2 linked regions of the Bombyx mori genome follow. The protein of the gene in region 1 purifies or fractionates together with the protein of each later gene. This does not show direct contact. Links are inferred from orthologs where the notes say so. Each region holds a gene or a part of one and is shown in the gene's direction. Other genes may lie near its edges.

Region 1 (7,552 bases):
CCAGAATTGTTGGTAATCAATCATACTTTGCATCAACAATCTTAATTAATTTTCACAACATGCAAAGATCTAATTTTTTATATCCTCATTATTATAATATAATCCTCCTTAGTGTAATAGTTAAGTTATAAACTCAGGATCAAATAAAAAAATAGTTTTCATTTTTAGATAATGTAAAATTGTATCTGAAGTATGGTTTCAGATTTCAAATTGATCTCTGAGGTCTGTTGTTTTGATAACTAAAACTCAATTCATAATAGTAAGGTTTGTGTTTATGTACAGCAATAAAGTTCATGACAATCATTTGCATTTGACATTTAATGAAAATCGTTCAAGAGTTATCCTGTCCGCAGTGGATAGTATTTCCATTAATGAATTATATGATGAGAATGATGAGATTTAAGTTTACATCCATTATTTGCAAAAAAATAATTATCACCTTCTTATTATTTATATCCATCATCTTTTTAGACATAAAAGAAATTGGATGCCCAGTTGACCAAAAATTCTTCCTTAAAACCTTTTTTGTTAAGTTTCTTTACTAGTATTTGGTGTCTAATTCCATTTTTACTTCAATGTGAATTATGTGAAAGGATTCACATAATCTTTTGTAAATCTGATACTTTAGAAGCACTTGAATGAAAGGTGGGATCTCTTACCATTGAAACTTCAATACCTTTCTCACACTAGGTGGTGACGTGATAAAAAAGCATTTTAGCCATTTTCATTTTATCTGCTCATTTAAATAAATAAAAAATCTGCTCATAGAGTAAGTTTTATCTTTCTGTTTTATAATTCTCATTCAATTAATTTAATTAAGGTAACAATTTAACAGTATTTTGCGTTTTACCTTTACAAGATTGACAGAAGCAATAAAATCAAATAATTTTTTTAATGCAAAGCATCCAAGCTAGTAATTCAAGTCATTGATTATTGAATCAGTCACTAGGTATTACTGGTGCTTTCTCACAGTTGGAAGTAGTTTTCAAATAAAAACAGGATGCATATTGCATGCATACCCATTTTATTGAAGTATGCACATACAACAGAGATAGTAATCTGTCTGACATGAGTAGGTGCATAGTACGCACATTTCAAAGAGCATTTTACAAGGAGTAAAATATTAATATAAGTGATTGCTGTTTTAACAGAAATATTATTTTTAAGTAATTTTAGTGTTACTTATAAAAAAAAGTACAGAATGATAGAATATAAGCATATTTACTGCTATGATATTTTGAATCTTGTGTAATAGAGTTAAAGAAGGAATGGTGTTTCATTTTTGAAATTTCAATATTTGAAATGGGTTTTTAGATGGATTTTGATAATGCCGGAGTGGTTGTTAGTCAAGATAATATGACTCTCTCTGCAAATGAACACTCAGGTGATCTCTCAATGGATTTTGAAGAACAACAAATTTTAATGGATGCAGGAACGGAAGAAGTCATTGGTAAAAAAACTTAGATAAAAATCAATTATAGTCTATGACATTATTAAAATGTTATTAGTATATCTGCAGTCTCCAGTAATGAACAACACAAAACAACAGAATTTGTTTCTATTCCTCCAATTTATGTTTCAAACCATGATTCAACTATAATGAAAACATTCCCTGAGATGCCAAAAGCTTTATATAAATGAAGTCACACAATTATTCCCTGAGCGACTTATTATGAAGATGAAAACACCAACTCACTAGCTTTAGAGACACGTGATCATGAGCCCTAAATGTGTGCCATTGAATGAGATTTTGCAATGACATAAATTATCATTACTAGTTAGTGATCAAATTGCAACAATAATCACAGACACCGTAATATTGATTTTAATTTTGTGCTTATATTACATTTACAATTTTTTCATTTATTGATATTATTGCTTTAGTTGAGAATAAAATCCAAAATTTACACCACAGTTTATCACTAGATACTTTACTGATTAGTGTCGGTAAGGTGGTGCCACATAGGTATGTACCACCACTCTATGTAGTTCTGCCCCAAAACGTGTGTCTTTTGTATATCATCATAGTCAAACCAAAATCTGCAGTGTGCACTTTTTGAGGTTTTTACTTTTTGACTTTATCATATAGTTCACAGCCCTATCTACCTTATAAAAACTGTTATGTGTGTTAGCTTTAATATTTATCTATAGCTTTCATTTGATATAGTTCTTAGAAATTCACCTTAATATAAAATTTTATATGAAAATGTTTTTACTCGTTAATTCAAAATAGAGTTTTTGCACATAGAAGATTTTGGTTTGACAGCGACGATGTGTAATTAAGACATAGACCTCATGACTCAATTCGCGTGGGGATGTTTATGTGCTCCAGTAACCACTTAACACCAGGTGGATTTTGAGCTGTTGACATTTGTGGAAATAAATAAAAAATGCCACCAAAAAATGTTGCTGAACAATTATTTCATTACCCATTGTATAATATAACAATGTACAATATACAATGTCTGCGATTATCAAATATATTTTTTCAAATATAATTTATTTATCTTGTACAATAAATCAAAATTAATTACAGATTTTACAGGTGACCAGTTTTCGCTTCAGGAGTATGCTGTGCAAGATGATCAAACTCCAGAACCTGAAGTGACTATTGAGCTGAACGTAAATATGCTGTCATTTTTTCATGTTTAACCATAATATATATTATAAGTTATAAATATGTAATTAGTTAATTAACTTGTAATAGTTAATTTTTAATGAATTATTTCAACTATTTATTCGCTTTTTAGTAATCACAGCTAGTAATGTTTTGCCAGAGATTAGTGTATAGCTTAATATTATGGTAAATGAGTTGTTTACCATTACTACAGACACATTTATTCAATAAATAACTCTATTGTTATGTCAATAGAATGAAATTGGAGCTGAGAGGCGACAAATCAGCATTGCCATCACCCAGTTTATTAAATTATTAAATCTCATTTGTATTTTAATAATGATTATCCGAGCCTTCTATCTGAAACTTGTCATTAATTTGCAGCATAAATGTGGGCAGTATACTGATGTCGGAGTTAATAATTTTCCTAAAACTGATTTATTTTATTAAGCATTTATCTTTTATTTTAAGTTACTCGTGAATACACATTTGGAGACATACAAAAAAAAATGTGGTATCTTTCTATCACCAATACAATCCTATTATTTTTCTCTATCTAATCACTGGTAGCTTACCGGGCTATCCCAACTACGCTCGGAAGGGAAAGTGAGCTCAGAAGCTCAACCTAAGAGAATTGCTAACACTAGCTCTGGGGAGGAACTCTGTGGGCTGTCTATGGAATAATCTCATGCCTGATAGGACATGGATGTCTTATCTGTTAAATTAGGGACGGACATCCCAATTGTAAAATGGCATTGTATTTGTTTTTGGTGATGTAATAATGCCTACTATAGATTAAATTTATGGATTAATTTCAGCAAATGAATATAATAACACCACAAGACACAATGTTGGATCTTAATTTAGATCTTGATAGCTTAAAAGTGGAAAGTGATAACATTTCCAAAGAAATAACCATACAATCTAAATACATTCTATTAAAGGTAATTCATTAAAAACTTTCGAATGAATAGCATGTTATTTAGTCGATTTCACCAATTACGAGATTTGCGACTCCAAAAGCGAACGTCTAGTGCCAGGGTGTTTATAATTCTGTGCTCTTTTAAAGGCGATAATCGTACGAAAAATTCTATCATGACATAATCAAAGACTGCAATCATCTCTTGTATCCGAGAAACTAATGTATATGAGCCTTGATTTGTTTAATGCTCTTTCTAGAATCTAATAATCTCGTTACGTTTTTTTCGTAAATCATACATAAGTTTGAGAAGCGTTTCTAGAATCAAACAGAGTTGATTATTGAGCAAACCACCTTGAATCTGACTACTATATTGTGGTTTTATAAAACTTCCTACCTATTCTAAATAGTAACCTCAAGGGGTTATTCTAGATTCACCGAACTAGTAGGTGAGCTCACGGGGCTTAAACCGGGAGTGTTGCTAACACTGGCCCTAGTAAAGAGCAGTGCTTCGCAGAATCTATATTGTGGAGTTGAATGGTGAAAATTCCAACTTCGATAAAGCGGCACGACACAAGAACCCTTTCATCGTGGTCGCCGGTAACTACATTCCCGATCCTGCGGACAGAATGGAAAGCAGTCGATGTCGCATCAAACACGTAATTTCGGATCCTCCCGATCCACTAACGGTGCTTTTAGGTACCTCAAGCACCGGTCATCGTCCTCGTCGAACCCGTCGCTTGCGACGAAGGGCTCGACGAGTAAATTAACCCTCAGACACAGCCCACTGAGTTTCTCGCCGGATCTTCTCAGTGGGTCGCGTTTCCGATCCGGTGGTAGATTCTGAGAAGCACGGCTCTTGCTAGGGTTCGTGTTAGCAACGTCGTCAGGTTTGAGCCTCGTTAGCTTACCTACTAGTTAAGGTTACGCTAAAATAGCCTCTCAAGGCTCTCAGCTTAGGTAGAAAAAAAAAAGGGAAAATTCTATATATGAATCTTTTTTACAGTCCGCATCTTTGAAACCCACTAAAAAGCCAGAAGTGAGCAGCATGCCGCGACAAGTGCCAATAGCGCCGAAGCCCCGCCTGTCGCAGACGACCAAACCGAAGACCACGTTCGGTCCGGGCAAGCAATACGCCATCGCGCCGAAACCTGTTACGTTTGTGATGAATAAAAATACAAAAAAAGTCTCAGTAGCCGGTGTACAAGCAAACTCAAAAGGCAATGCTGTACTAGGTGAGATTTTGTTATGAATATAATTTTTTAATTACCATTCAGTATTCATATTCATTTCAATATAACTGATGATTAATTTGATATGTGGGTAGGAATTTAATTAGTAAGTGGTATTGTTAAAATCACACAAAAAACCTATGGACTTCTTTATTGAAGTCAGTTAAACTTCTAAAACATGAGTTGTGAGTGTCGTGACATAAATGATAAGACATCCGGTGTGTTCCTCGTATCCAATTTTGCGGGCGGACAAATGAAATACCTATATACTTAACATATGGGAACAAATGATTTCTATGTTGAAGGAATTAGTCCATGTAATAAAGATGAAACTCGCAAAATTCACGTAATTACTGATGGTAGAGCGTATTGTAAACTCAATTGGGCAGAGAACACCGTGCTGCACATTTCTGCCTTTTGCTTTGAGCAGTGGGACAGACTAAACAATAAGGCTTAGTCTTCCACCTTGTCTTTCAACCAGGCGACATTCACGTTGTATCTTTGGGATATGGTAACCACTTAACAGAAGGTGTGCGGTAAGTTTGTTCACGGAAGTTTCCAATAAAAAATGTTTTCTATTTCTAGCTCAAATTGGTAAGCAGTTAGTTATGGTACCAGCTGAAGGAGCACAGAAAATTAAGCTGGTGTCTGCCGGATCAGGTGCCACTCTCCAATATGTACGAGCTAATTCTGATCAGGTACTTATGGCCGTTTCCTGGATCCTATTGCATGTACCACTATCAGAGTTGTAACAAAAAGGTTTCATACAAATCAACTTGATTGCTTCTAATAATAAAAAAGGTTTGTTGGTCAAAATATATATTTTATACATTAAATATATGTTACCGTTTCAGGCACAGTTAACACCAGCAAAGGCCGCCGGAACAACTCAAGCTAAGCCTTTAGTGGCTAAGGTCGTAGTGCAAGGTAAGCGCTCGTCACCTCCACTCACGCGCTGACTTAACTGTTACCCTCTGATTAAGTCCACTGCGAAGAAATCGTGCTTCACGTTTGAACAGTAAAATATCTGTTATTTCCAATTCAGCAGATAGTAATCACGCAAATTATGATTTTTGCCTCTGGCATTGCTGAAGTCGGCTCTGGCATTGCGGTAACCACTCACCGTCATCAGTTGGGCTGTACGCTCATCTGCCTACCTACTAAGGGAATAAAAAAAAAAAATATTTATTACAGCGTGCTTAGTGCGAGTTTTTTAACGTTCTCGATAGCGAAAAAGTTAACCCAATTTTGCATGTAGTTGGAACAGCGCCCCTAGCGGCAAACGTAGGCAAACGATCCCATTTCATACAAATATGAGCTAACTTTTACGCTATTGAGAATGTTAAAAAACTCGCACTAAGCACACAGGTTTGATTTTGATTACGCGATGTTACTCTTTCGCCGTGGAAGTAATTCGTGAATATTTGTTTAGTATTTCTTAGAAACCTGCGTGCGGGATTTTAACACCCAATCGCATCGTTCGATTCGACGAGGCTCGAGGTTTCTTCGGTTATTCTTTAAGCGATGAGGATTTCCAATATATTAATAAAACTATTTACTTTTTAGCGGGTCACTCAAACACGGATACAAGTAATCAGCCGGCAGTACTAACAAAGTTGTTGCCGTCAAGTAACGCGGGCGCCCGGTACGTGATGCAACAGAAAACCGTCCCTATATCTATTGGAAATAAGGTGAGCTTCTTGGTATAAGTTTATACAGGCTTTTGACTGGATGGAGCATGTATCACTTCTACAATAAATAACTTTTAATGGTATCTGGGGTAAACTTACAGTCCGCTCGCGAGCTCCGAGGATTTTTAAGGAATGTTGACGTAATGAGCTAGTGTTGTAATTAGTCGATATTGCGCTATCGATACTCACACAACTTAAGCCTCCGTGCGAGTGTAAATTATAAAATAGTTTTATGAGGGTATTATGTACTTCAAATAAAATAAAAACAATTGATCACGTATGAATTTAATTTAATGAACTGATACTTATTGAACAAAATGAACGTGAAATCTTATTAATTACTCTCGCAATCAGATTAATCAGTAGTTGAAGAATTTGATGTACTATTGACACTCTCTTTATGTACTTCAATAATAAATGATTCGACAACATCCTCCATTAAGCTATCCTTTTGTCAGTAATGTTCCTCTAATGCTAAGACATGTTTATTATGCTAGTGCTCGCCATTCCTTTTTCATCAAATTAAATAGCTATTTGTGCAAACAAAAATACTTATAAGTGTAAAACTATTTATATTAGAAATCACACGTAATTAATACTGCTATCGCAAAATTAAAAACAACGAGTCGGTAAGCGTACTCTCACATTAAGGTCGACACTAGTACTGGGAGAGTGCGGGGTATGAAGCGACGGTCGGGCGCGGTGCACGCCCGCCCGCTTCCTCAGCCCCCGAATCCTCGGAGCTCGCGCGCGGACTGTACTTGGATGGTAAAGAAATACATAATCCAATACCTGTGTTGAATACTTTGTTCTTAATTCAGTATTTTGCTTAAATATAATTCTGTTTTTTATTACCAAATAGTATGTAATGTTTTCGATAAATTAGTTACTGCATATTTAGGTTTTGCTGTCCTCTCCCACTAAGCAAGGAGTTAAGAAGCAGCAAATTATTGCCGTGAAGTCGTCTCCACAAAAAGGTACTTGAAATCAAGATATTAACTTAATGATGGAACTTTATGAAATCATTCCCAAATTACATATATAATTATGGAAATATAATTATAATAAGACTTCGTAGATCAACTTTGTTGTC
Region 2 (7,652 bases), on another chromosome or scaffold:
GAACGTGATGTTTTAATCTTTTTCAGGCCATCTTGTTTCAGCACACGCAAGTCTAGAATAAATGAATATGGAAAAAAATATCTCATTCCATCCCATATACCTGTCATCTATCCAAGAAACTTCCAAGCTATATAGAATAAGTTAAAAGTACTAATTTACTGTTTCGTTATTATATAAATGTAATGAATATTAACTAATAATACATTTATTACTAAATTATTTTGTTTTTTAATCTTACATATCACGTGTCTCCAAAATGATTTTCAAAAAAGTATAGTGCAGGAAATAGGAACTTCTACGTTTCCCACATTCAGACCTCCACACGACTTAGTAATCCAGAGCACAAAATTATGAGACAATTCGAATAAATAACTCAAACACATTAATGTTGTAAATATATTGTATAATTAAAAAGAAACATTTCACTCGCACATCCACCACGACACACACATAACAAGAACATGATAATCAAATGTCTCATAAAATCTTGAATTGCAATAAATCATAGAATACTATTCTCTAAAATGTCAATTTCATTTAAAATTTCATTCTTTTTTGACATTTTCTCTTTTTGATCTTTATCAGGGCTCTTAAGAAGCCCTGCTTTTATTTTTTCCTCTAGAAACTCTATTTCTCTAAGCTTTTTTCTGAGATTCTTGAGGCGTTTTGTCGGATCAGACTGAGATATACTTTCAGTCGGTACTGACTGACTAGGTACGGTTGGTTCTTGTATTTCACATTTGGCAAGTTTTTCTGCAGCTTCTTCAACACCTGTAACTAAAAATTTAGAGTTCATAAAAATCAAAATTCTCTAACCAAATGTTCACTGCAATAATATTGGTTATTTTTAGTGGTGTGATTGAAGATTACATTTAAAATATAAAGTAACTAAGTTCAAAAATTTAAAATGGGTAAAGTATTAAGAATCTTTAAAAATAATGTATCAAAATTTTTGTGAACTATCGGCTTGATAGCTCTTGTCATTTTTTAAATATGTTTTTGGAAGCTAAGGTTTACATATTTACTAAAAATTGCCTTAAACGTTCATGTTCACCAGCCGTGTATGCCAGCAAAATAATAATCTTCTATAATATGAATAGGATAGTATGCTTCCTAATATTGCTATTGAGCTTTTTGAGACTGCAACTTAAAATCCCTAATACTAATTATTCCTCAAAAGTTATTCTGTAAGATTACCCTGTCTTATTCTTTATTTGTGAAAGCTATTCATAAACATGACAATGTGTTGCTGTTTTGACTAGATTAATTTCCCTTAACTGCGTTTGAACTCCCTGTCAAGTGTCCTTCTATATTCTTTGTCACTTGATGAAGCTGTTGTGGCCTAAGTGATAAGAAGCCCGGTGCATTCGTATCAAGCGATGCAATGGGGTAGGAATCTGCAGTCAGGTACCATTTTTTCTAGTAAAATAAGTACATAACAAATGTTCATGATTGACTTCCACTGTGATGGAGTAAAATCGTGTATTAAAAATAAAACCCATAAAATTATAATCTGTATAATTAGTGGTGGTAGGACGTCTCATGAGTACACAGGTAGATAACACCACCCTGTTTATTTTTGTCGTGAAGCAGTAATAGATTTTGCTTTGAAAGGTGGGGCGGGGCAGCCATTGTACTGTAAAAGGTTGGTGGTATTTAGGTTGTAGATGTTTATGGGCTCCAGTAACCGTTTAACACCAGGTGGGGCATGATTTTTTCCAACGAAATAAGAAAAAAAGCATATTTATTACTCATTTCATCCTTAAGTTTTTTTATTCTAAAAATATTATATAGCAAAGCTCTAGATAGTTTCTATAGCCAGGGTGATATTACTGCAGGAATCTAGCAAGTGCTGGAATATTTTCTTTTATGTAATTTAAGAGTACCTAGCGTGCTAGAGGAAGAGCACCAGCTAGATGGGTGGACCAATTTAAGGAGGTGACTAGAGGCCAGATACAGGAAGCGGTACTTATGGCGCAGAACCGGACCGAGTGGAGGAGATTGACATACAGTCATGATCCTCAGCATAGAGGGAACGACCAGAAAGAAGTCACCTCACACAGAAAAGTACCTTAAATTTTTTCATGAAATATTAATTCAGTAAGGACTCAAAGCTTCATTTATTATATATGAGCCCTATAGATAAGCAGATGAGCTCAATGACCATTTGATGATGTAATAACATATTACACCAAGTACCATTTTGCTTCAGGAACAACAAAAAATGTTTTTTTTTATACCTGTCTTCTTTTTCTTTTTCTTCTTTTCAACAGTTATAATCATTCCAGGTATAGGTTGGATAGTGCTTCGTTGACCTTTCTTCTTTTGTGCTTGAGCTACAATCTCAGGTGTAAGTCCAACCGGAAGTCCATCATTTTGCCTGGCCCTGAACTGTTTTCCTTTGCTTTCATACAACGGTACCTCTTCTTGAGGTACATAACCTTCTTTTATTCTTCTCGGCTTGCGCCAGGTTCCATCAGGTCTTTGAGTTGCAGGAATGAATTTACTCCCTTGAATGTTGAAATTTTTAAAAGTTAAGTTTAAATTAATTTTGTAAAGTTTTTGTAATTAGTTTTATCTTTGAAAATCAGTAAAAGTTAAGCTCGATTAGAAATATATAATAGACTGTTAATTAACAATAATAGGTAATATATTTGGATGAAAAATTCAAGTATTTAAAGGACAGTTCTTCCTATAATTATTGTGTGAAACGTTAAACTCTAATGTTTACAAAAAAATCGTATTGTATCAATTAATTCGAATATCTTCAATCACACGAAACGTGGTTAATGTGAAAACTACTAGAGAAAGCGGTGAGGCTTGAAAATTCTTCAATCGTGAATTTTTTTGTACACTAACCATCAGCGTCGTGCTCATAAGCCGTTGGTGTTGACATTATAATACATAAGATTTCAATTTGTATTTCAACATTTATAAATCACGGCAATGTATTCTTAAATAATGAGCTATTTTCGTGGTACTCTACACAGTCAAACCAAGATTCACACAAGAAACTATTTTGACAAATAAAATATTGAACCGCTTTGTTTGACACATAACAGAGGGACCATAGATTGTTACTTTTTACATATATAGCACTCGGTTTCTTTCTCTGCCATCGTTACTCGTGTCGAGTTTGATGGTTTAATTTTATTATTTCAAAGATACATTAAAATACTTTGTTAAATGAGAAATAAGATTAATTTATCTGAAATAAAATGATATGATACAAAATTAAAGGAAATAGTATGCTAGTAAGATGAGAATTGACTGCTATTTTAGTTAACTTTTGAGAAAATATCAAGAATTCTCGTCTAAATACTTATGAGTAGTTTTTACATGAAAAAAAAACATATTAAAATCCACTATCGTCACCTTTTTTAACTTATCCTATAATATTATATCCTTTTTGTAACTTCAAGATTTCTCCAAAAAAAAAAACAGCATTCAACAAAAAACACGAATGTAGACCCAAAGTTAGAGTAGCCAATGGCCTTATACAAATTAAAAAAGAACAAATTAAATATACTGTGCACATCTCATTTGTTTTGATTAATTATTTTAGTTATTTTAATTTTAAATAGATTCAAGGAGCAGGTTTAAAAATGCGTAAACGAAGAAGGATTTTCACTCCAATCAAAAACAAAGGAAAGAGTATAACGCAATTCCCTCAAATTTCTAATAAAGGTTTGATCAACATAACGAACTTTAATACACAATTGTAGGATATAAAATTTTCCTGATATGGTAGTCTCGTTGGTTGGTGGTTAAACTTTTAGCTTAGGGGAGGACCATGTTCGATTTGAGTTTCCTTCAATAAAGATGCAGAATATTGAATATCGAATATAAATTCTTAATTTAAAAACGAATTTTTTTGCTGAACTGTTTTAAATTCAAAGCTTACACCGGATTCGTATCTATAATTATCTATTGTATTCCCGCGTCTAGTTTATTATATATAATGTCAGTCATCATAAAATCACTAACACGCTAGTAGTCGAAGATCCTGATAAATGCAAAGTATTTAAAATGTCGTGAAAGTAAGATACGCGTGATTAGAGCGAAAAAATAGTTACAATTACATCTTTTAAAAACTGAAGAAAATAGTATATCACATATTTTAATGTTTTTTGTTTAAACAAACAGTAAAAGAGGTGACAACTGCTCGAGGGAGGCTGCAGGGAGCGTTAATGGAAATATTGGAACCGGCATTGGATTCTGATGACTCTACTGAACTTACACCAGGGAAAAGAAGGTATTTATTCATAGATATCTATTATACATTTTAAACTAGAATTGCATTATATTTAATATAGTTTAAGCTAATAAATAAGACTGAGGCCATTGAGACTTCGAGGAGTTTGTCATGATAGTTGATTGATGAAAAATCAAACTAGACACAACCATCAACGATTAAGATCATGACAACAGAAGAAAAGTAGACCAGCTAAAATTAGATTTTGTTATAAGACAATTTTAGTTAGCCAGGTTAATAACCAGAATAAATGTATATGAATGTAACACAGGATTCCTAAAGTTAACCAATATAGTACAGACCATTACAGTATTCACACCTAAATTTGTGTAAACATCAATAGCCTATGTAGGGTTTTAACATATAAGCTACTAGCAGACCCGGCCACACGTTGCTGTGGCTAAGGTTTTTGTTTCTAAATAACACGCCGCGTGGCCGGCTATGCTAATATCAAAAATTGACAAAGTAAGAACAATTGGATTTCACTGTATTGCGCTTACTACGAAATAATTTTTACTTAAACTTTAGCCTCAGCAACACGTGGTGTTTGTGCCATTAAATTGTAGCTTATGTGAAACTTTGGTATTTTTAACATAGCGCCATCTATGAGATAATAATGTCAGACAACCGATTTAAGGCGCCATCTGTTTTAGATTTATGAAACTTCAATTAATAAAAAAAATCAACATAAGAAATCATTTTATTGTTAATTAATAAATATTGCGACCATTAATCGAAATAAAAACCATCCTATCTTTCAAATTGGATCAAACTGCACACGGTGTGCAAATTTAATTTAAAATCGGTTAAGTCGCTTAGGAGTCTATCACGGACAAACAATGTAACATATGATTTATATATATTAAGATTATAAATTGTTAAGTCACATCAAAATCTTTTAACTTCAAAGATTAACAAACGTCTATCCATCCCCACAAACATTCTCATTTAAAACATTGATAGAATCAGAATATGAAATCACCTTCACAGACAATCAGATCAAGATGAAACCTATGTATCGGAAGAAGAAGATATTCACTCACAAAAACAATCCCAGCGGCAGTCATATGTTCTCAAACTGTTCGATAGGAGTGTTGACTTGTCACAGTTTGATGAGGATTCCCCTCTCTATCCGATCTGCAGAGCCTGGATTGCAAACCAACCTAAAGCTGATTACAGCAAATTTGGGTAATTATATATTTTTTTAATAATAATGCTAATCATCTTGTAATCCTCCTTGCTTCGGTTTCCTCAATGCTGAGGATCGTGATCACTTATTTGCAAAGAGTTTATTGTGAATCACTCTAAGCCATTTATTCCTATTAGCCACCGAGTGTAGAGCATCATGGACTGTGGTGTCAAGAGTAGTACAGATCTGGTCAGTCCAATGTGCTGGGCCTCTACCTCGTGGTATTTTTCTGTCCACTTTGCCAATACCACGAACCTATTGTGTCTCAATATAATTAAGTATGATTCATGAAAATAAACTTTAATTAATTTAATCAAAATATTTTTTTTAGTTATGATCAACCTGAAGACAACGAGGATATTATGACAATAGACTTGCCAGGGCCAGAGGGACCTCCAGTCTCTAGGATACCAGAGTTGTTGCCGGAACAAAAGGCAGCCAACAAGGACAATATTGATCTTGAATATGTAAGTTTAAAATATAAAATTTGTAAGAATAGGTAATTTTATATTTTGTACATGCTGTATTTTTATGTAGAAATTTTTCTTCTTTATTTATTCAGATACAAAAGGGAAAACAAAACCATTTTCTATTCTGTTTATAATTTTTTTTTATTAATTATTGAAGATTTTTTTTATTTATTTTTTAGATGGGTGGACGAGCTCACAGCCCACCTGGCGTTAAGTGGTTACTGGAGCCCATATACATCTACAACGTAAATGCGCCACTCACCTTGAGATATAAGTTGTAAGATCTCAGTATAGTTACAATAGCTGCCGCACCCTTCAAACCGAAACGCATTACTGCTTCACGGTAGAAATAGAGTGGTGGTACCTACCCGTGCGGACTCACAAGAGGTCCTACCACCAGTAATTACGCAAATTATAATTTTGCGGGTTTGATTTTTGTTACACGATGTTATTCCTTCACCGTGGAAGTGAAACGTAAACATTTGTTGAGTACGTAATTCATTACAAAAATTGGTACCTGTCTGGGATTCGAACACCGGTGCATCGGTTCAACTCGAATGCACCGGACGTCATATCTGTTAGGCCACGACGAATTTCCTGGAAATAGTTCGGTTCTCTGTACAGCATCAAATTTTGTAGGTCTAAAGTGAACTATAAACACTACACTGTATTGCCTCATGGGTAAGATTACTGAGAGCTTTACATGATTTCAACTGTTCTTATTGCCGAGACGAGTGAACAAACCAACAATACGTCTGGTGATAAGCAGTTACTGAAGACAATAGATTCAGTGTGAATGCGATCTTGAAACTCGTGGTCTAGATCTAGATGGTATAGTATAATAACCATCTCACTATAAAAATCAATAAGGCATGACTGCTTGGCGTCAGAGATACGCAGGGTGGAGGTAACACCCACGCAGCTTCATATCTGAGGCTGGTCAGATTTCATAATATTATTTATTAATCCCAATAATCAGACACCATCACCAAGCCGGGAGCAGCTGTTATCTTCACTGCAAGCCCGCTGGTCGGCAGTGAGGGAAGCCTGGTTACAACAATCCGCACGAGCAGAAGCAAGATATGAAGCCACGCAAAAAATTCTCAACAAGATCAACGTTAAGTGAGTATAAACTTTTTTTTTGCCCTTACTCTATGTTTGATTTTCAATAAACTAATAGAAAGCCTGAACGCGCCATTGTGATCAGTTTACTAAAATATGTAGTATTTTGAATACGCCATTCACACGTTGATACCAGTTGGCGCTATTTCAATTTTAGTGTTAATATAATTAAATAATTTAATTTTAACTTTATTTTATTTTCAGTTCAACTTAGCTGTATTCATACTACATTATATACAAATGAAAACATAATGCAAAATTATTTTTAAGGTACATTATATTTGATTTTAATCATTTGATCATGATTGTGAATTATTTGATAATAATACAAACTTTTAGTTTTTATAATTGATTTATTTTTTAATAAATGTTTCATGCTTGCTTTCGTCTCTTCTTTACTTTTTCCTGTAGCTGTGGGCACTGGGTTTTCTTGTGACCCTTTTCATTGCAATTGTAGCAAGACTGTAAGATTATAAATATATAGTAAAGTTGCATACTGGGAAGGACTGAATATGCTATAAAAAAATAATATTATTAAGTTTTTTTTCCCTACCTAATCGAGTCTAAAGACACCATATCAGCGTAACCTTAACTAGTAAGTGAGCTTGCGGGGCTC

What was found. Proteins that work in one complex are often made in the same cells at the same time.
Region 2: the proteins of protein lin-54 homolog (region 1) and protein lin-37 homolog purify together in Homo sapiens (affinity purification with mass spectrometry; 4 studies listed by BioGRID and IntAct, counting the BioPlex papers as one, with this or other methods). This does not show direct contact. The link is inferred for Bombyx mori from reciprocal best matches to the Homo sapiens genes LIN54 and LIN37.

The regions. Positions count from the first base shown.
Region 1 is NC_085109.1:10,707,610-10,715,161, reverse strand, and holds part of protein lin-54 homolog, read left to right. Parts: intron 1-1,314; coding exon 1,315-1,450; intron 1,451-2,536; coding exon 2,537-2,622; intron 2,623-3,435; coding exon 3,436-3,561; intron 3,562-4,542; coding exon 4,543-4,771; intron 4,772-5,353; coding exon 5,354-5,466; intron 5,467-5,622; coding exon 5,623-5,695; intron 5,696-6,334; coding exon 6,335-6,459; intron 6,460-7,360; coding exon 7,361-7,436; intron 7,437-7,552. UniProt on the Homo sapiens protein: Component of the DREAM complex, a multiprotein complex that can both act as a transcription activator or repressor depending on the context. In G0 phase, the complex binds to more than 800 promoters and is required for repression of E2F target genes.
Region 2 is NC_085114.1:15,045,542-15,053,193, reverse strand, and holds protein lin-37 homolog, read left to right. Parts: upstream 1-3,443; 5' UTR 3,444-3,605; coding exon 3,606-3,687; intron 3,688-3,737; exon of another isoform or gene 3,738-3,759; intron 3,760-4,146; coding exon 4,147-4,255; intron 4,256-5,245; coding exon 5,246-5,443; intron 5,444-5,775; coding exon 5,776-5,911; intron 5,912-6,893; coding exon 6,894-7,036; intron 7,037-7,240; coding exon 7,241-7,250; 3' UTR 7,251-7,408; downstream 7,409-7,652. Other genes in the region: wibg (partner of Y14 and mago), read right to left, coding at 503-771, 2,241-2,510, 2,860-2,896.